Linked DNA regions of Lonchura striata. The protein of the gene in region 1 purifies or fractionates together with the protein of each later gene. This does not show direct contact. Links are inferred from orthologs where the notes say so. Each region holds a gene or a part of one and is shown on either strand. Other genes may lie near its edges.

What was found. The genes of interacting proteins can lie anywhere in the genome.
Region 2: the proteins of PPP6R2 (region 1) and ANKRD52 purify together in Homo sapiens (affinity purification with mass spectrometry; 3 studies listed by BioGRID and IntAct, counting the BioPlex papers as one, with this or other methods). This does not show direct contact. The link is inferred for Lonchura striata from reciprocal best matches to the Homo sapiens genes PPP6R2 and ANKRD52.
Region 3: the proteins of PPP6R2 (region 1) and ANKRD28 purify together in Homo sapiens (co-immunoprecipitation; 4 studies listed by BioGRID and IntAct, counting the BioPlex papers as one, with this or other methods). This does not show direct contact. The link is inferred for Lonchura striata from reciprocal best matches to the Homo sapiens genes PPP6R2 and ANKRD28.

Annotation. Positions count from the first base shown.
Region 1 is NC_134607.1:72,861,819-72,869,021, reverse strand, and holds the start of PPP6R2 (serine/threonine-protein phosphatase 6 regulatory subunit 2), read left to right. Parts: upstream 1-4,201; 5' UTR 4,202-4,509; intron 4,510-7,203. Other genes in the region: protein DENND6B, read right to left, coding at 3,670-3,816. UniProt on the Homo sapiens protein: Regulatory subunit of protein phosphatase 6 (PP6). May function as a scaffolding PP6 subunit. Involved in the PP6-mediated dephosphorylation of NFKBIE opposing its degradation in response to TNF-alpha.
Region 2 is NC_134629.1:5,549,097-5,556,190, reverse strand, and holds the start of ANKRD52 (serine/threonine-protein phosphatase 6 regulatory ankyrin repeat subunit C), read left to right. Parts: upstream 1-4,076; 5' UTR 4,077-4,102; coding exon 4,103-4,129; intron 4,130-7,094. Other genes in the region: COQ10A (coenzyme Q-binding protein COQ10 homolog A, mitochondrial), read right to left, coding at 1,740-1,819. UniProt on the Homo sapiens protein: Putative regulatory subunit of protein phosphatase 6 (PP6) that may be involved in the recognition of phosphoprotein substrates.
Region 3 is NC_134603.1:121,892,909-121,900,064, reverse strand, and holds the start of ANKRD28 (serine/threonine-protein phosphatase 6 regulatory ankyrin repeat subunit A), read right to left. Parts: upstream 3,019-7,156; 5' UTR 1,404-3,018; coding exon 1,287-1,403; intron 206-1,286; coding exon 122-205; intron 1-121. UniProt on the Homo sapiens protein: Regulatory subunit of protein phosphatase 6 (PP6) that may be involved in the recognition of phosphoprotein substrates. Involved in the PP6-mediated dephosphorylation of NFKBIE opposing its degradation in response to TNF-alpha.

The DNA.
Region 1 (7,203 bases):
CAGCTCCCGTCCCAGCCTCGGGAGCTGTGCCAGCAGCTCCCAGCAGCTCCTGACCCTCCTGCCCTGCCTCGAAATACCCGGTGGCCCCGTGCCAGGGGCTGGGAGCTCACCCAGCTCTGGCAATTCCTGCGGATCCCTTGGCAAGGGCGGCGCTCCAGCCGAGCCAGCCAAATTCCCAATTAACAGCGCCGCTGATGAGCCCCCGCCAGAGCTGAGCTGTGAGGAACAGCCAGGAAAATCCCGAAGCAAAAGCAGGAAAATCCCGAAGCAAAAGCAGGAAAATCCCGAAGCAAAAGGACCCCGAGCAGCTCCAGGGGCCAGGCGGGCAGCATGCATGGGGAAGGCTGGGGTGCTGCAGTGGGAAGGGATCAGGATTGTCCCAGGGCAGCACTTCCCTGCTCCCCTTGCTCTGCGCCAGGACCCCGAACGCATCCCTGGGGCTGGCACTAATTAACCCCCACCCAAACATTTATCCTGTTAATTCCCAGGGAATCGTGGCCAGGAGTGGGAGCCCTGGACTGCTGATCCTGGTCTATCAGGAGCCTGTGAATCCCAGGAATTGTGCTTTCCTCAACATCTGCTGCCTAATCAGAGCAGGAGTTGGGACAAGGCTTCTGCTTCTCCTGCTGGATTTTGGGGGAGTTTTCTGCAAGAGAACAGTTGGAAAATCAGGCTTTAACCTCCAAGGTTGGAATTGATGATCTCAGAGGTCTTTTCCAACCTTAATCCCTCTGGGATTCCACATCTCTACTTCCCCTTCACTTTAACGCTGATGTTTCTCTGCGTTTGGGGTGCGGGGAAATCACCAAACATCCCAAAGTTCAAAATCTCAAATCCGAGCCAAAAGGAATCCGAGTCACCACAACTTTTCAAAAGCCAAAAAAAGGCACGTGAAAAGGAAATCAGGATGTGTAGAAGTCTCCAGAGCAGCCCAAAAGGGCTTCAATCACATCCTAAATTGTTTATTTCATTATTTGAAAGTGGAGGCGCCAGAAATAGGAATTCCATTTAATTTCTAACTTGATTTGGGTTCTTCTTTCCAACAGCTTCTCCACTGTCCATGGAAGCAGAGCGGGAATCGCTGAATTCCAGAATCTCTGGGATCTCCCTCAGTGTTTTGAATTTCTGACTCTCTTGGAGCTGATTTCAGACCCCCTGGGTTTGTATGGCCAGACCCCCTAAATCGGTACCCCCAGAGCCCCCCAAGCCCCCACAGCTTCTCCTCTTCCTGGCTTCCCTCCCGTGTCTCACCCCTGCTCCTTCCCCTGGAACAGAAATCCACGTTTTTCCAAAGGAAGAGGGGCACTGGGGCCGTGTCATCCCCACTGGCAGTTCCCAGATTTCCTAAGTTATTTGTGCCATGCAAGGAACATTCTTCCACTGAAACTTATGCAGGCAAAAGGAGGAAAGGAAGGAAAAGAAGGAAAATTCCTTTCCAGAGAGGAACAAACAACATTCCTGCATCCCTCACGCACAAAGGCAGACAGGTGAGAACCCACCTTTACATATCAAAACACAACTACAAAGCATTGAATTCACCATGCTAATTATTATCCCAGTATTCCTCCCTTCCTTGGGGTATCTCAGGCCTGGTTTTGCAGGAAAAAGGATCAAACAGGTGAAACTCGGGTCTGGAGGAGATTTTTTTATTCACTTTCAGGCTCCAGGGAAAGAAACAATGTAGGATTCAAGGCAAGGGAGCAGCAACAAGGTGGAGTTGGTTCCTCTTGCTTCCCAATCCCTTTGGAAGCCCCAGCATTTAAAACTGGGAAGGCTCAATCGTCTGTAAACCAGAGCAATCTCCCTAGAGAGGGCAGAGCAAGGAGTGACTCCCACAACCACACAAGAAATAGGAAGGAATTCGAGGTGATGGCTCAGGTTCAGACAAATCCACGCTTCCCTGCTTTCCTCAGAGAGCAGCCCCTGAGGAGCCCAGCTCCCCCCAGACCCTCCTGCAGGACCAGCACTGGGCATTCCAGGAACCTGGGGACAACTGCCCAGCCCTTCCCACCCCAATCCCACCCTCTGTGGCCCCACGAGGGGCTCAGCTCTGCTGCAACCCAGCCAGGGAACTTCCCTTCCCTGGGAATCCTGCACGGACACCTCCCTGCCCTGCCTGCTGGCAAGTTCTGTCTTTGGAATCCCGGTTGGGTGGTCAGGGACCTCAAATCCCCTCCAGGGCCACCCCTGCCATGGCAGGGACACCTCCCACTGCCCCAGGCTGCTCCAGCCCCAGTGTCCAGCCTGGCCTTGGGCACTGCCAGGGATCCAGGGGCAGCCCCAGCTGCTCTGGCAATCCCAGCCCAGCCAGGAATTCCTCATTCCCAATCTCCCATCCATGGCTGCCCTCTGGCAGTGGGAGCCATTCCCTGGGTCCTGTCCCTCCATCCTTGTCCCCAGTCCCTCTGCAGCTCTCCTGGAGCCCCTCCAGGCCCTGCCAGGGCTCTGAGCTCTCCCTGGATCCTTCTCCTCTCCAGGTGAGCCCCCAGCCTGGCTCCATGGGACATGTCACCCTTTATTCCATGAAGAGGATCCATAAAGGTCTCTTGGATGCTGCCCTGGCCCCTCCCTCACCCCAAATCTCTGCTCGGGCCCCCCTCCCCTCCCTGTTCGCTGCCCGCACCCCAACCCTGATCCCCCTTTCCACACCCCTAGCTGTGATCCCGCTTTTCCCTCTTCATTCCTGTTGCGGCTTTTCCCTCTCCACTCCTCATCCCCTCCGTCCCCATCCTTCATTCTCTTTCCCATTCCTGCATCCATCTCTCCCCATCCCTGCTCCCTCCACATCCCCTGGTCCCTGCCTCCCCTGGTCAGCTCCCTGTTCCCCATTCCCCCTCTCCATTCCCTCTCCCCATTCCCTCACTCCATTCCCTCTCCCCATTCCCTCTCTCCATTCCCTCTCCCCATTCCCTCACTCCATTCCCTCTCTCCATTCCCTCACTCCATTCCCTCTCCCCTTTCCCTCACTCTATTCCCTCTCCCCATTCCCTCTCTCCATTCCCTCTCCCCATTCCCTCTCTCCATTTTCCCTCTCTCCATTTTCCCTCTCTCCATTCCCTCTCCCCATTCCCTCACTCCATTCCCTCTCCCCATTCCCTCTCCCCATTCCCTCACTCCATTCCCTCTCCCCATTCCCTCTCCCCATTCACTCTCCCCATTCCCTCACTCCATTCCCTCTCCCCATTCCCTCACTCCATTCCCTCTCCCCATTCCCTCTCCCCATTCCCTCACCCCATTCCCTCTCCCCATTCACTCTCCCCATTCCCTCTCTCCATTCCCTCTCCCCATTCCCTCTCTCCATTCCCTCACTCCATTCCCTCTCTCCATTCCCTCACTCCATTCCCTCTCCCCTTTCCCTCACTCTATTCCCTCTCTCCATTCCCTCTCCCCATTCCCTCACTCCATTCCCTCTCCCCATTCCCTCTCCCCATTCACTCTCCCCATTCCCTCTCCCCATTCACTCTCCCCATTCCCTCACTCCATTCCCTCTCCCCATTCCCTCTCCCCATTCCCTCTCCCCATTCCCTCACTCCATTCCCTCTCCCCATTCCCTCTCCCCATTCCCTCTCCCCTCCCTCTCCATCCCGGACCCCTGCACAGCCCCGACCCCGCCCGCCGGTCCCGCCCGCTCCCTGAGGCGATGTGCCGCCCCGGGCCGCCGCGGCGCACCTCCATGGCCTGTCCCAGCTCCAGATCGAAGGTCACCACGCACACGCAGTCGATCCAGGCGGCGAAGCGGCCCCAGGGCAGCGGGGAGGCGGCGGCGGCGGCGGCGGCGCGGCGGGGCCGCGGCCCGGCCCGGCTCAGCGCGTCCATGGCGGCGCCGCCCGCGCGGCCCGGCCCGCCGCGCCCCCTGCCGGCCGGGAGGACCGCGCCCCAACGCGCCCCAACGCGCCCCGCCGCGCCCCCTGCCGGCCGGGAGGACCCGAACGCGCCGCCCGCACCATCGAGACGGGGGCGGGCGCGCGGAGCGCCGCGGGCGGGGCCGCGCGGGTGTCATGGCGGCGGCGTGAGGGCGGCGTGAGGGCGCCGCGGGGCTTGGGCGCGCTGCGCCCACGGCGGCTTCACCGCTCGGTGCCCGGCCCCTGCCTGCGCCGGCCGGGGCCTGTCGGACCGCCGTGTGTCCCGGCCGGAGCCTGTCGGACCCCCGTGTGTCCCGCCGGGGCCCCCCGCCCCGGCTGTGCCCGGTGTGAGCCTCCCCGAGCCCCCTTTCGCCGATTTAGGAGCGCGCCAAACACCGTTAAGAGACGCCGTTTGTTCCCTGCCGGCCGTGAGGAGGAGATCTCCACAAAGCCAGCTGAGGAAGGGGTCAAAAATGGCATCTCTTCTGCAGGAGAAGTCACACAAACCCGGCCCGCTGTAACTCACACGCTCCACCTGCCGAAGGCGCAGTTCATGGTGTGACCTAACCTGGCCCGGCTGAAAGTTGACTTTCGCTTGAAACAGAGTTCTTTCATTAAGCGGCTTCTATTGTAGAAGTTACCTGAGGCCTCAGTTACGTTTACAAAGGTGAGAAGATGACATCCATTCCTTCAGGAGAAGTTTGCCCCGGGGATGTTGGCAGAGCCGGGCACGGCGGCGTTCCCCGGGCAGAGGGCAAAGGGTGGCCCGGGATTGTTGGTCACCGTGATTTTTGTGGCATTCCAGGCACTTTGAGGGGTTATTTATTGCCAGCTCAAGCCCGGAGCAAGGCAGGAGTAGGACCACCATAAAAAGGAAGTGTGAGAAGGAACAATTCCAGCCTGGCAGTGCCCAAGGCTGGGTTGGACAGGGCTTGGAGCACCCTGGCACAGCGGTGGAAGGTGTTCCCCCCTGCCCACGGGACGGGATGGGCTTTGAGGTCCCTTCCAGCTGAACCATTCCGTGATTCCAGAGAGCCTAGAGGTGTCCAAGTGACCCCGAGTGTTCCCCCAGGCACCCCGAGTGTGCGCTGACACGGCAGCTCCTGGCAGGAGCTGTTTTCCCCAGGAATTCCATGGCCAGGCTGCCGAGCTCTCCCAGCAGCATCGCCCCCGTAGGTTTGGTTATTTATTTTTGGCACTTCTTTGCCCCCCCCCAGTGCTGTTTGTTCAGCTTCAGGCCTTTAATGTCCTTACCCGGCCTGTCCTGCCCCTGTTGAACTCCCCTGATCAGGGAGCAGAGGAGCTGCACTTAAACACTGTCCCATGAATTGCTAGTTAATGCTAATTGTGATTTATTAGCCTGCAACACTACATTTACACTTGCCACACTTGAAGCTGATTCTTGTCACGCAAGGGACAGGAGGGAAAGATAAGGAAAATATGAATTTAAAATAGTTGACATTTTTTCCTCAGTAACTCTTTGTCCCACAATAAAAGTCAGTTTTGATCCTGTCCCAGGGGTCTCCCATGGCTGATTTCACTGCAGCCACACGAACATTCCTGCCTGGCCAAGCAGAAGAAAATTAACTGTGAATCAAAGGGGCAATAAAAGTGCTAAGAACGCCTGAGAAGTATAAAAGTGAGGGCTGGAGGGTTTCCATTAGGATGGGAGCAGAGCCCTGTACCTGAGCAGGGAACTGTCACAGGCAGAAGGTCACACCCAGCATCCCCATTCCTTCACAATTTCCCAGAGCCACAAGGCAGGACAGGCAAATGCTGGAATCACAGAACCTGGGAATCCTGGGATGGGCTGGGTGGGAAGGGACCCCAGAGCCCCTCCAGTGCCACACTGCCATGGCAGGGACACCTCCCACTGTCCCAGGCTGCTCCAGCGTTTCCTTGGACATTCCAGGGATCCAGGGGCAGCCCCAGCTGCTCTGGCAATCCCAGCCCAGCCAGGAATTCCTCATTCCCAATCTCCCATCCCTGGCTGCCCTCTGGCAGTGGGAGCCATTCCCTGGGTCCTGTCCCTCCATCCTTGTCCCCAGTCCCTCTGCAGCTCTCCTGGAGCCCCTTCAGGCCCTGGCAGGGCTCTGAGCTCTCCCTGGAGCCCTCTCCTCTCCAGGTGAGCCCCCCCAGCTCTCCCAGCTTGGCTCCACAGGAGGTTTCCATGAACTCAGGACCTGCCCCAGGGCAGTTCTGCTTTGCTGTTGATGAAACCCCCAAGGTCTCGGGACTCCTTTGCCCAGCTCTCCTCGGTACCGTCCCGGCTGGAGCCCTGCCCGGGGCCGCTGGTGCCGGCCAGGGGAAGCTGCAGAGCGGGATTTTCCCGGAGTGCCGAGCCTGATGCCCGCAGGAGAGGCTGCGGAGGGTCCGATGGCCGGAGTGCTGATCCCAGAGCCGAGCCCGGGGAGCTCCCGGCTGGTGCTGGACCATATTTGGGAAGGTCGGCGCTGCAGCTCTGGAAGCGCAGCGCTGCTGCCGAGCTCGGAGCTGCCGGGGCAGCGCCGGGGCTGCTGCTCATCTCCCCGGCAACCCGGCAAACACAACATTGCCCAAGCCCGGCGGCTATAATTAACTGTGCGCCCCGGCCCTGCGGCCCGCAGGAGCCGCTGCCCGGGCTGCCGTGCTCCCGCACCGCCAGGCTCCGCGGATAATGTTCCCCAGAGCAGCGAGGAGCGTTCCCCGCAGCCCCGGGGAATGCGAGCTGCTCCCGGGGCTGTTTGTGCTCGGGCACCCGGAGCTGTGGGATTTCAAGCAGGCCTGCTCACTCGGCCCAAAAGGCAGCCAGAGAGAAACGCCGGGGTTTGGAAAAGCTCCCGGAGCAGCGCTGGGTGCTCGGCAGAGGCTGTGGCTGGGGGAGAAGGGAGGAAAGCTCGTCCCCTCCTCCCTGCAGGGCCGCTCAGATTAATGTCAAACTGGCGCTGGGAGATCCTGTTCTGATGCCTGCTGGAGGCACCAGATCACGCCTCAATCCTGAGCCAAGAATAGATCCCAGAATTCATCATCCACAGCCTATTCTGGGCCTGCAGCCTCCCACCCAACGTGTGCCCGCTCCCGCTCCGGCCGGGAATCCTGCTCCAGGGCTGGGAGCTCTGCAGCCAGAGCGCTCCCTGTGCTGAGGGGCTGCCCTCACACACAGAACCACGGAATCCAGGAGTGGTTTGGATCGAAGGGGTCCCTAATGCCACCCACTGCCACCCCTGCCAGGGGTCCAGGCTGCTCCCAGCCCCATCCAGCCTGGCCCTGCCACACCTGCCCAGCCCCTCGTGTCAGTGCTAGAGGAGATTCCAGCAGTTGTTCCCAGTGGGATCCAGTGCCCCGTGTCACAGCCAGGCTTGGAACCATGGCCTGGGGTGTC
Region 2 (7,094 bases), on another chromosome or scaffold:
GACCGGCACCGGGAGCACCGGGAGCACCGGCGGCACCGGAGTCACCGACTGGCACCGGGAGCACCGGGAGCACCGGGAGCACTGGAGTCACCAGAGTCACCAACCAGCACCGGGAGCACCGGCAGCACCAGAGTCACCGGGAGCACCAGCGGCACCGGGAGCACCGACTGTCACCGGCAGCACTGGGAGCACCGGGAGCGCTGTGCCCTGGGACCCTTCCTGGTGGACAAGAGGGCTTCTAGGGCTTCCCAAATTCCTTCCAGGGCTTCCCAAATTCCTTCCAGGGCTTCCCAAATTCCTTCCAGGGCTTCCCAAATCCCTCCAGAACCTCACAAGTGCCTTCGAGCTTCCCAAATCCCTCCAGAGCTTCTCAGGTCCTTTCCAGAACCTCAAAGGTCCCTCTGGAGCTTCCCAAATCACTTCCAGAACTTCCCAAATCCCTCTGGAGCTCCCCAAATCACTTCCAGAGCCTCACAAGTCCCTTCAGACCATCCCAGGTCCCCTTCCAACCACTCCCAGTCCCTTCTTGGCCACTCCGGGTTCCTTCAGACCATCCCAGGTCCCTTCCTGACCATCCCTGTCCCTTAATGGTCACTCCAGGTCCCTTCCAGAACTTCCAGGTCCCTTTCAGACCATCTCAGGTCCCTTTCCAACCACTCCCAGTCACTTCTTGGCCACTCCAGGTTCTTCAGACCATCCCAAATCACCTCCAGAACTTCCCTTCATTTCCCTTCCAGACCTTCCCAAACCCTTCCAACCCATCCAGCTCCTTGCAGACCTTCCCAAATCACTTCCAGAACTTCCAAAATCCGTTCCAGAGTCTAACAGGCCCCTCAGAGCTTCCCAAATCCCTTCCAGAACTTCCCAAATACCTTCAGACCATCCCAGGTCCCTTTCCAACCACCCCCAGTTCCTTTTTGGCCACTCCGGGTTCCTTGAGAACATCCCAGGTCCTTCAAAATCATCCCAGGTCCTTTCAGACCTTCCCAAATCCCTCCAGAACTTCCCAAATCCCTCCAGAACTTCCAGGTCCCTTCCAGAACTTCCCAAATCACCTCCAGACCATCCCCGGTCCCTCCCGGTCCCTCCCCGCCGGGGGCTCCGGGCCGGTGCCGAGCCGCGGGGACGCTCCCGGGCCTGACGCCGGGAGGAGGAGGAGGAGGAAGGCCGGGACCTCCGAGCCGGGCACACCGAACCCCGGCGGGGCCCGGTGCCGCCGTGCCCCGGTGCCGTCCCGCCTCCGGTGCCGCTCCGGGGCGGCGATCGCGACTTTCCCACGGGAATCGTCCCGCCGGTGCCACCGGGGCCGCCGGTCCCGCTCGTGTCCCCGTGTTCCCTGCCGCGGGTGGCCTCGGGGCCGTCCCCTCCCCGGTGCCACCGGGGTGACCCCGCCGGGGCTCGGTTCCCCCGCGGGCGGCGGCACCGGCGGCACCGCCGCGCTCCCGGTGTCGCCGCGCGGGTTCGCGCCAAGGTCAGAGCCCCCCAGCCAGCGTTCCCCACCCCGCGGCCAACCGGGCCAGCGGCACCGGCGGGCCGCCGCCGCCCCGGGATCACCGGGAGCCCCGGGATCGCCGGGATGGCCCCGCCGGGACCCCCCCGTTCCCACAGGGTGCCCCGGGACCACCGCACCTCACGGGGGCCGGGAGCGCGGCCAGGCCCGGAGGAACCCCCGCAGCACGAGCGCCTCCCGGTGCCCGCCCCGGTGTCCCCGGTGTGACCTCCGCGCCGCCGCCGCTCACCTGCCGGGCGGGGCCGCCGCGGCCCGCAGGCGCTGCCGCGCCCCGAGCTGGAGGGCGCCGCGGAACCGCCGGGCCGCCATCAGCGGGCCGGGACCGGGACCGGGACCGGGGCCGGGCCGGAACCGGGACCGGCGCCGCCCTGACCTCTCACCCCGTGACGTCACCGCGTCGCCATGGCGCCGGGCACGTCACGGGGCGGGCACCGCCCCCGAGCGGGGCATCATGGGAGTTGTAGGCTGAGAGTGCGCGGGGCACGATGGGAAATGTAGTGCGGGCTGGGGATGCGGCTGCTGCGGGACCGAGAGCAACCGGGAGCAACCGGGAGCGACCGGGAGCAACCGGGACTGCCCCGCCCGGGGCTGCCGGGGCTGGGCTCTGCCCCAGGGGCCGCGCCTCCCACGTGTGCTCCCGGTCCGTGGGTCCGGAGAGGGACGGGGAGCCTCCGGTGCCGTGCCCCGGTAAGGGCCCCGCTCCGAACCGGGCAGAGGAGCCGAGAGAGCGGGGATCCACCGTGGCTGCGGGAACTGTGCGGCCCAGCGCCGCCCACTACAGCGCAACACACAACAGGGCCTCCCAGTGTCTCCCAGTGCAGCTCAGCACATCCCAGTTCAGCCCAGCACATCCCAGTTCCTCCCAGAACATCCCAGTTCAGCCCAGCACATCCCAGTTCCTCCTGGAACATCCCAGTTCCTCCCAGCACATCCCAGTTCAGCTCAGCACGATCCAGTTCCTCCCCCCAGCACATCCCAGTTCCTCCCAGCACGTCCCAGTTCAGCCCAGCACGATCCAGTTCCTCCTCCCAGCACATCCCAGTTCAGCCCAGCACATCCCAGTTCCTCCCGGAACATCCCAGTTCAGCCCAGCACATCCCAGTTCAGCCCAGCACGATCCAGTTCCTCCTCCCAGCACATCCCAGTTCAGCCCAGCACATCCCAGTTCCTCCCAGCACATCCCAGTTCCTCCCAGTTCAGCGCAGGGATGCAGCACCAGTTCCCAGCCCCGTTCCCGGTGCCGGCCCGGCCCCTCTTGGAGCCCCGGGACCCCCCGGGACCACCGGGGGACGGGGTTCCCACCGGACAGACCCCACAGAGGGATGGAAGTGCCACACCGGGACCCCCGGGACCTTCTCCCACCGCCCCAGCACTCTTCAGGCTGGGGCACCCGGGACCCCCGGGGTTACCGACAGCCGCTCCGGGATGCGATTCCCCCCGGGAACACCCGGTGTCACGGCACCGACCCCCGGGGTACCGACAGCCGCTCCGGGATGCGATTCCCCCCGGGAACACCCGGTGTCAGAGCGGCGACCCCCGGGGTTACCGACAGCCCCTCCGGGGTGCGATTCCCACCGGGAACACCCGGTGTCAGAGCAGGGACCCCCGGGGTTACCGACAGCCCCTCCGGGGTGCAATTCCCACCGGGAACACCCGGTGTCAGAGCAGGGACCCCCGGGGTTACCGACAGCCCCTCCGGGGTGCGATTCCCACCGGGAACACCCGGTGTCACGGCACCGACCCCCGGGGTACCGACAGCCGCTCCGGGATGTGATCCCCACCGGGAACACCCGGTGTCAGAGCAGCGACCCCCGGGGTTACCGACAGCCCCTCCGGGGTGCGATTCCCCCCGGGAACACCCGGTGTCAGAGCAGTGACCCCCGGGGTTACCGACAGCCCCTCCGGGATGCGATCCCCACCGGGAACACCCGGTGTCACGGCACCGACCCCCGGGGTACCGACAGCCGCTCCGGGGTGCGATTCCCCCCGGGAACACCCGGTGTCAGGGCACCGACCCCCGGGGTACCGACAGCCCCTCCGGGGTGCGATTCCCCCCGGGAACACCCGGTGTCAGGGCACCGACCCCCGGGGTACCGACAGCCCCTCCGGGGTGCAATTCCCCCCGGGAACACCCGGTGTCAGGGCACCGACCCCCGGGGTTACCGACAGCCCCTCCGGGATGTGATCCCCACCGGGAACACCCGGTGTCAGGGCACCGACCCCCGGGGTTACCGACAGCCCCTCCGGGGTGTGATCCCCACCGGGGACACCCGGTGTCAGAGCAGTGACCCCCGGACCCCCGGGGTACCGACAGCCCCTCCGGGGTGCGATTCCCCCCGGGAACACCCGGTGTCACGGCACCGACCCCCGGGCCGCTCTCCCCCGCCCCGCCGCCCCTCGGGCCGGGCCCGGCGCTGCCCGGAGACCCCCGGCGATGCGGCCGCCCCGGGGCCGCCCCCGCCGCCGCCGCCGCCGCCCGGGGCTCGGTGGGCGGCGCATCCCCGCCGCTCCTTCCCCGCCCCGCCGCCGCCCGAGCGGAGCCGCCGCGGCCGGACCCGATGCCGGCAGCTGGGCGCTGAGGGCGGCCCCGACATGGGGGTTCTCAGCATCACGGACCAGGTACGGCCGAGCCCCGCTCCCGCTCCCGCTCCCGCCTTGCCCGGGCGGCGCCGCCACGGCAGCCCGGGGATGTGCGGCCTAGCGCGGCTCCCGCCGGGCCCGGCCCGCCGCCGCCGCAGGCCCCGGGCCGCCGCCCCGCTCCGCCGGGCCCCGCCGCCGCTCCGGCACCGCCGCTCCGGCACCGCCGCGGCCCGGGACGGCGCGGGAGGGCCCGGGAGGGAGCGGGAGGGAGCGGGAGGGAGCGGGAGGGAACGGGAGAGAACGGGAGAGAGCGGGAGAGAACGGGAGGGAACGGGAGAGAACGGGAGGGAACGGGAGGGAACGGGAGAGAACGGGAGGGAACGGGAGGGAACGGGAGAGAACGGGAGGGAGCGGGAGGGAGCGGGAGAGAACGGGAGAGCCCCGGGAGGGAACGGGAGGGAACGGGAGAGCCCCGGGAGGGAACGGGAGAGCCCCGGGGATGGAACGGGAGAGAACGGGAGGGAACGGGAGAGAACGGGAGAGCCCCGGGGATGGAACGGGAGAGCCCCGGGAGGGAACAGGAGGGAACGGGAGAGCCCCGGGGAGGGAGCGGGAGAGAACGGAAGAGCCCCGGGGATGGAACGGGAGAGAACGGGAGGAAACGGGAGAGCCCCGGGGAGGGAATGGGAGAGCCCCGGGAGGGAACGGGAGAGAACGGGAGGAAACGGGAGAGCCCCGGGGATGGAACGGGAGAGCCCCGGGGATAGAACGGGAGGGAACGGGAGAGAACGGGAGAGCCCCGGGGATGGAACGGGAGAGCCCCGGGGATGGAACGGGAGAGCCCCGGGGATGGAACGGGAGGGAACGGGAGAGCCCCGGGGAAGGAATGGGAGAGCCCCGGGAGGGAACGGGAGAGCCCCGGGGATAGAACGGGAGGGAACGGGAGAGCCCCGGGGATGGGACCCCCGGGAGGGAACGGGAGAGCCCCGGGGATGGGACCCCCGGGAGGGAACGGGAGAGCCCCGGGGATGGGACCCCCGGGAGGGAACGGGAGAGCCCCGGGGATGGGACCCCCGGGAGGGAACGGGAGAGCCCCGGGGATGGGACCCCCGGGAGGGAACGGGAGAGCCCCGGGGATGGGACCCCCGGGAGGGAACGGGAGGGCCCCGGGGATGGGATCCCCGGCCCAGGGATGTGAAGCATCACAGGGGGATCCTGCTCCATGAGACCCCCCGGCCTGGGGACCGCAGAGCTTCGAGAGGAGATCCCGGTCCTGGGACCCCCTGGCCCGGGAACGGCAGAGCCCCGGGATGGGACCCCTGGATCAGGAACAGCAGAGCCCCCGGGATGGGACCCCTGGATCAGGAACAGCAGAGCCCCGGGATGGGATCCCTGGATCATAACGGCAGAGCCCCCGGGATGGGATCCCTGGATCAGGAAGGGCAGAGCCCCGGGATGGGATCCCTGGATCAGGAAGGGCAGAGCCCCCGGGATGGGATCCCTGGATCAGGAACGGCAGAGCCCCGGGTTGGGATCCCTGGATCAGGAAGGGCAGAGCCCCCGGGATGGGACCCCTGGATCAGGAAGGGCAGAGCCCCCGGGATGGGATCCCTGGATCAGGAACGGCAGAGCCCCGGGATGGGATCCCTGGATCAGGAACGGCAGAGCCCCCGGGGTTGGGATCCCTGGATCAGGAACGGCAGAGCCCCGGGATGGGATCCCTGGATCAGGAGCGGCAGAGCCCCGGGGATGGGATCCCTGGATCAGGAACGGCAGAGCCCCGGGTTGGGATCCCTGGATCAGGAACGGCAGAGCCCCGGGATGGGATCCCTGGATCAGGAACGGCAGAGCCCCGGGTTGGGATCCCTGGATCAGGAAGGGCAGAGCCCCCGGGATGGGATCCCTGGATCAGGAACGGCAGAGCCCCGGGTTGGGATCCCTGGATCAGGAAGGGCAGAGCCCCCGGGATGGGACCCCTGGATCAGGAAGGGCAGAGCCCCCGGGATGGGATCCCTGGATCAGGAACGGCAGAGCCCCGGGATGGGATCCCTGGATCAGGAACGGCAGAGCCCCCGGGGTTGGGATCCCTGGATCAGGAACGGCAGAGCCCCGGGATGGGATCCCTGGATCAGGAACGGCAGAGCCCCCGGGGTTGGGATCCCTGGATCAGGAACGGCAGAGCCCCGGGATGGGATCCCTGGATCAGGAACGGCAGAGCCCCGGGGTTGGGACCCCTGGATCAGGAAGGGCAGAGCCCCGGGGTTGGGATCCCTGGATCAGGAAGGGCAGAGCCCTGGGATGGGATCCCTGGATCAGGAAGGGCAGAGCCCTGGGATGGGATCCCTGGATCAGAAATGGCGGAGCCCTGGGATGGGACCCCTGGATCAGGAACGGCAGAGCCCCCGGGATGGGATCCTTGGATCAGGAAGGGCAGAGCCCCGGGGTTGGGATCCCTGGATCAGGAAGGGCAGAGCCCCGGGGTTGGGATCCCTGGATCAGGAAGGGCAGAGCCCCCGGGATGGGATCCCTGGATCAGGAAGGGCAGAGCCCCCGGGATGGGATCCCTGGATCAGGAAGGGCAGAGCCCCGGGGTTGGGATCCCTGGATCAGGAAGGGCAGAGCCCTGGGATGGGATCCCTGGATCAGGAAGGGCAGAGCCCTGGGATGGGATCCCTGGATCAGGAACGGCAGAGCCCCGGGATGGGATCCCTGGATCAGGAACGGCAGAGCCCCGGGATGGGATCCCTGGATCAGGAGCGGCAGAGCCCCCGGGATGGGATCCCTGGATCAGGAAGGGCAGAGCCCCCGGGATGGGATCCCTGGATCAGGAAGGGCAGAGCCGCCAGGGTTGGGACCCCTGGATCAGGAATGGTGGAGCCCCGGGATGGGATCCCTGGATCAGGAACGGCAGAGCCCCCGGGATGGGATCCCTGGATCAGGAAGGGCAGAGCCGCCAGGGTTGGGACCCCTGGATCAGGAACGGCAGAGCCCAGGGTTGGGATCC
Region 3 (7,156 bases), on another chromosome or scaffold:
TATACAGCTCAATAATCAGTAAAGTTTTAAGGACATTAGTACAGCAGAAAGATATAACAAACAAAACTAAAATATATTAAAAAATTAAAATCTATTACAAGAGAATTATATTTGATTTTACCTGAAAATTAACATCTTCTTTCTTAAATATTAGTGCTCGAACTTCATCAGGATCTCCATTAAATATAGCTTGAACCAATGGTGGCTAAAATGAAGAAGAAACACAAAATAAAACCCTGTTTTAGTGATACACATACAGTTTTTTTGATACATAACAGAAACCCAAGGTAATGACAAAAAACCCATTCCAGACAGTAAAACAAAGAAACCAGCGCCAGTAATTAGAATCAAAGAAATTGCAAGTTTTAAAAACCTCAAACACACGGACATCCTCCAAGTCAATTAAATATATATGTGCGAGAAAAAAAAAGGAGCTGAGAAGACAAGCTTATAACAGCTGAAAAGAGAATGCCTTAGAACAAAATTAGGGTTGTCATTACATGCTGCAAATTCTATACAGTATAAGCAAACAATCCCCTTTTACATTAGCAAGTGACTCAAGTTACTGGAAGTCTTTCACCTGTTTAGACAGAGTAGGAAAGCAAAGTGCATCAGATAAGTATGGTAACAAATTCACACTCACACACATCTATTACTAAATATAGCAGGATTTCTTAGTAAGTAAGAAAAGCTGCTGAGGTATGCTAGCAAGATTTAAATCAGTCACTTGTCAGAATAAAATAATTTCAAGCAATAAAAGCACAGTTCCCAGTGTTGATCATTTTCAGAAAGTGCTAACTTGAATCTAATACCAAGATTGTGACTTATGTTAATTTTTATTTTAGCTTAGAATTACCCTTGTTTGATATAACGATATACTCTATTAGTTCTCAAAATAAACACAGCATATGATTATAATACAATGATCACATCAGCTTCTAAAGTAGTACTGCATAAATGTACTATTGAAGATGAGAAGTGGAGCAGGGAAAGCCCCTTTACTTCAAATACACTTCCTCACGCCTTCTAAAACCCCACTGCTATTGCACAATAATGAAGACCTGTTCTTGCTGCACCATAAATAAGGTCACATGAAATAGAAAGGACCCTTGCAAGCATAAATTCTACCACTAAGTTTCAGCTTTTTCCATCTTTATTACATGCATATTTTATCACCTTGTCTGGTTTCACCATTGTATGTATTCATCCTTATTTCAGGAATATAGCTATTGGCATTTGAGACAGCATTATAAGCAGGGAATCTGCCAACAAACAACATGCCTTACCAGCACATTTCCAGAGGGTGATGGATGTACAGATACATTTTCCTGAGGTATATTGGAAATAAATGAGGGAGAATCATCTTCCTCCTCCTCCAAAACAACAATACAGACTCGACTCATTCGATCCGTTTGAGGAAGCAAAAGCAAACAAGAAAATGCCAGCAATGATATTTTTGGAAGCAGACTGCAGGTATCACAATAGTGACCATAGAGGAAACACTTTCACCTGTTTCACAGGCCCTCACAAACTTGTGAGTGCTACTGCTGGTGTCTTAGCATCTAGAAAGGGGCATTCCAATCCCCCCTCACAATTCATTTTCCAAACTGAAACACCATGAGATGTTCAAGACACTGCTGAAAAAAGTAGTTCTTGATGAAATAAAAAGTCCCTAAGCATCAAAACCACAATAACAAAACCGTGGAACAGCTCATAAAAATATCCCAAGATCCAATTCCATTTGAACAGCACTCACTGTCACACACAGCTGTCCTTTCAGAAGCAAATTTGTCTTTGTTAATGTCACAACTTCCACAGCGTCCTTCTACCCTCACAGTGAAGTCATTGTTGCAGAAGACATGACTCCGTCCTGCAGAGGACGGAACAAGGAACAATTGCCCCGAGAGAGACGGCCGCAGCTATTCCCACTCCTGCAAGGTCAGTTTAAATCAACCCTCACAGGCTTTTTGGTGACTGAAAATAAACGTGCCTCCCGATCATCCTGCCATTCTCCAGCTTCCTTTCTCAATGTCAAAAACAGTCCAGACAGAAAAACACATCTCGGTTCAGCAGTTATTCAGGACCTGCTGAGAGGAAAAGAATTCTTTCCCATGCAAGAAAATAGCTGCAACGTGCAGCAGGGCTGCAGCACATTTACATGCAATGAGTCAGACCACAGGGACAATGAACTCCTTGAATAATACTGCCGGCCGAATCCAGCAGAAGCAGCGCAGCCGGTGCTACTCCGTCAGGGACACGAGCAATGCGGATAGTTCATTTTTCCTTCACCAGGCAGTAGCTGTGGCTTCTCCATCAGGGAATGCGTAAGGCAGAAATACTGTAGAGGAGGAATGCTTCAGCAAAACAAGCTAGCTACTGCACACAAAAGCTCAAATTACTGCCTTAGACGACTTCTGCAAAAGCAGTTCATCACTCAAGTGTTTCTTTTGATCACCATGTGAATGCAGTTCCCATGATAGTCTTCATTCAGATTGAGGGGGAGGAAAAAAAAGGAAGAAAAAAATCAGACTCTGTACATCTTCTCTGAGCCAACTTCTTTATCCGAACATCTGTCACTGCGCCAACCTGATTCTCCTCTTCAGTTAGAGCTTCTGCTTATTAGGTTTTTTCCTTGACAAATTAAATTATACAATCAGCAGAGAGGCTTGTAAAGCTCAAAAACCAGCTTGGGTGTCCGAGGCGGCAGGAGCGGCGCACCAGGCAGTGCCACGGCGGCGCTCCCTGAGCAGCAGCCTGGGAGCAGCGCCTGCAGCCTGCCAGGGCGCAATGCCGAGTAATGCTCACATGTCACACTTACCAGAGCACCCAGCCACCGCTCCCAGGGTAACTTCCTCTGCCACCAAAAAAAACCCGCCTTTTGCTTTTTTTGGGGGCAGTCTTTGCAGCCTGCGCCAGATCGGTGACTAACGCAGCTGAAAACGTAAAAATTCTATAACTGAAGAAAGAGCGACTGTTTTAATATTTTCCACTAAAAGCCGCAAAGAAATGTGGCTGTGCTGACTAACTACACTTTAGGCAGTAAACAATTCCAGCACTTTAACTGCTTTCATATGGCACTGGTCAGAGCAGCAAAACAGTTCTCACTTAACTCACTAAAGACAACAAATGCCCCACATAAATCCTCTGAAAATTAAATTAAAAGTAAAATCTTAAAGCAATAGGCTGACTATTAAAAAGCCAGCTATTAATGACCAAAGCCGTGGGTTTTTTGCAATTAGTACAGACAAACACAACCTCAGCTTTAAAAAAAAATTACATTAAGTATAATTTAAATATAATATTATTAAAATACACCATAATAATGAGGTATAATATGAATCCCTACAACTTGCTGAATAAATACTTCGGCTTGAATCTGCCTAAATGGTGCTGGCTCGTGGGTGTATTATGTAAATGGCTTCTGTCAAAAGTTGCTGGATAAGCTTCAGTGTTACAGGAATAGAGGGAGGGTTTTTGCTCCTGCTGTGCAGCACGAAGGCAATTCTGATGTCCTTCAGTGGCTGCTAAGAGCAGAATTTGTCAATGGTGAGCAAGTTTATAGCTCTTCAATAAAGTATTTGCACTCAAATTTCACACACGAATCCAAGCAGAGAGAAAGACAGGTTTAAATGGTGTGGTTTGGATATAAATAGACATACTGAATTCCCACCTTTGGGGGCTACAGACAGGAAAAGCTTACATGAACTCTTTTGCAAAAATGCCTACAGTAGCTTGATTGTAACATAATGAATTGCTTAAACACCTCCCTTTCCCCCTGACACTATGCAGGTGAAACTTACTAAGTGCAAAAAAGTACTTTGGGCAAGGGCTCCCTGACCTCTAGAGTCCTGACCTGGCAGAATACAGCACCAGATTCTGATTCATCATGACATTTCAGATTAAAATTTTTCAAGACTAACAAATAACTTTATAAATATATTTGGTTCATTACATAGAGTCTAGTTGCTTTGCAATCTCATCCTTTTGGTCTTAATTACAAAAAAAACAATGATTTGTACACCACACTGCTTTGTTCTAGCATTTCAGCCATTTATTAAAAAGCAACAACACGGATTCACCTGAATACATACAGCAACTCACGTTCTTCTTGGCCACAGGAGAACTAATTCTAATAAACTATGGACATCCTCAAAGCTCAGCTGTTGCAACACCCTACTGTCTGCTATGGAACACAACAACCACAACACAGAAAATAGCTTGCTTTCTATTTGTGAAAAATGCCCTCAGGAACAGACACTTTGGCTTACTTGTGTAACTAAACACGCATTTTAAAAAAATTAAAACTCAGATTTTATGTGTAAAAGCAAAATACTGGCAAGCTTCATATGATACATACACACTTGCTAGATAATGGCTTTCCAGCTAAGCCCATATGTTCAGTGTAAATTAACACTTTTCAAGAGTCAGTAGATTTATACAATATGCAAATGCCAAGGGTTCTATATGCTTTCTTCGGAATTACCAACTGGACACATTGCTAGATAGAGACAATGCCTAATTTAGTTCAAATTATCTGAATGTGGTCCATTTTTTACCTTTGTAATTAATGCTCCAAGGCAGCTAGAAATTCAATAGTTACTTTTAAAAAAATAGGCTTTCACACTCAGTTAATTGTGAAAATTCAGAACATTTTAATTTACTCTGATAATTTACAATTAATATAAATTATGTCCAAAAGCAAGTAAACATATATCTCACCTAACACTGTATGGTTTTGAATTGTGACATCACAACAGAGAGTTAAAAGCCAGTACATCACAGTTTGCATTAAAAAGACAACCAACACAACTGAATCAATATTATATTGATTTCCATAGCAATCTAAGCCATGTAAGTAAGCAAAAACACTCTGCTCATGATAGGACTGTGTGTGTGCAATTGCTTCCGTAACCAAAGGAAAAACCAGTTCTGGATATTTAATTTTTGCTCACAATTAACTAGCATTTCCCCCTTCAACCAAAAGCTGTGCCTTCACTTCAATGCAAACAGCATCTCTAATCACCTCTTCTTTCAACTGCAAAAAACCATTCAAGTCATCTTCTGGAGGGCAAAATGCAGTTTCTAATGTCACCTAAGAGATCTTCTAAAACCCAAAAGCTGTTTAGAATTCTACTGTAAGAAACCAGACTAAGGTTTCAATTTTTCAGCAGCTTATCTAGACTAACAACTTTCTGTGTAGAAGAGTTAATAGGAACAGAAAATGAAAGCAGAATAAATTCAAGATGATTAATTTAAGCTTCTGTTCCTCAAACTAATTTAGGAATCATAACAGAACTTTGCAAAGGTATAAAGAACATTGCATCTCAAACAGTTTGGATTAATAAAACTTAAAATAACTGAAGACAGCAGGTCATCACCATACATCTTCTCCAAAAGTCATCTATTTCCAATACAAAAGCTTATAAAATGAGAAGCAGAAAAGAAGGCTTAAAAATGGCCTAACTTGAAAAAAAGAATGCCATGTCTACAGGGATTTGGGTGGTGATCTGACCTCCACAAGATCTATTAGCAAAGTAGTATCTCCACACAACTCTCAAATTTTAAGAAGTGCAATGGTGATATGAATTTTTGTGAAAATAAAGGCTTTTTGTGTTGATGTGGTAAGGGAAAAAAAGTGTAATTTTCAAACTACACTTGTCTTTAAGTAAATCAAGTTTCAAGAGTCTCTAATGGGTGCATATAAAGAAAATATATTACAAGGATGCAACCCGCAGGTTAAAACATATGTCTGCCATCTACACTAGACAGAAAAAACATTAACTCTGAATCAGCTAAAAACAGCAACCTTTTCTATGGATCTGCCCTCTTCTCTAGGAACAAATGAGCAGAAGACTGTAGCAGCACTGCTGATGACACCAAAAACCAAAGGACTCAATATCAAAGAATCTACTCAGATAAAGATTTCTCTCTTGCCAATCAGCATTTACTAAGTTTTTTCTTCTGGGTTGAGGTTAATCCAACAGGTTTCAGGTAATATTTTGAATGATTAAAAGAATCTAGGTAAGGAAGACAATAGTTCTGTCAGGTTCCATTAAAAATGAAAAAACTTAGAACCAAGTCATATATCAACTTTGCAAGGCAAATACCTAATCTGTGTATTTCTTCAGAAGACAAAGATTGCTTTTAACAGCCACAGCTCTAAGTACATAGGCATACTCCAGTATAAGCAGATTTTATTAAATACAGACAGAGATGAGTGTTCAGCATCACCATGAATATAAGTAAGTTACAATAATTCTAGAATACTTTTAATGAGTCACTCATCTGAACTCCTCTGCTGTTTCCTCCCCACTCCTGAGGGAATGAGGTGGAGTCAGGAAAGAGAACAGACTAAAGCAAGAAATTAGTACCTTTCTTCCCAGTTTTGTTCTGTTTATTCCAGAGCATCTGCATCTGCAGAATAGTTTTAATCCCTGGACTCCACAGTTTTTCTTCTAAGAACAAGCAAAATAGCTATGCTTGCACTTCATGATACCACAGGCAATTCCTACTTTTTCTCATGCAATTATACAGGCTCTGTTAATCTAAAGAACTATTTCACATAGTCACATACTATCTTTGAACACTTGGTAATTAATAAAATCCAGTATCTAAAAAGCCATTTCAGCTGCAATTGAAACACAAAGAAGAAAAATAATCTAGCATTCACTCTAACTTTTCTCAGTTGGAGCAACATAAGAAAAATGAATAATAAAAAATGTCTGTGATTCAGACACAAACTTCAGTTGTATACTTAAACACCCAGTAATATGTTAAAAATATCATCTGACCAAAGAGCAGTAAAGCACCTTGAAAGTGTTAAAAGTCTACTAAGCAATTTGCTGTTTAAGACTTCTATTCTATGTATCTGAACAACACACCTGCAGACAAGCTCTTGGCTGAAGGACCATATGGCCATCACAGTACAACATAAGTAAATACCTGAAAAAAATTATCTCTGGTGTCCAAAATAAGGAGTCTAGCAATCAAACTGTGCACAGACCAAAACCCAGAAAAGCAAAGGCAACTCCTATTTCTCTTAAAAGAAAGTGAAAATATGAGGGTTCTGCATCTTCCAACATGTGTTCTAGCTAAGATATCAGCCAGCACACTTTCCTTTTAGGCCAGATTTAAATTCACTGGCAGGAGGAGGTAC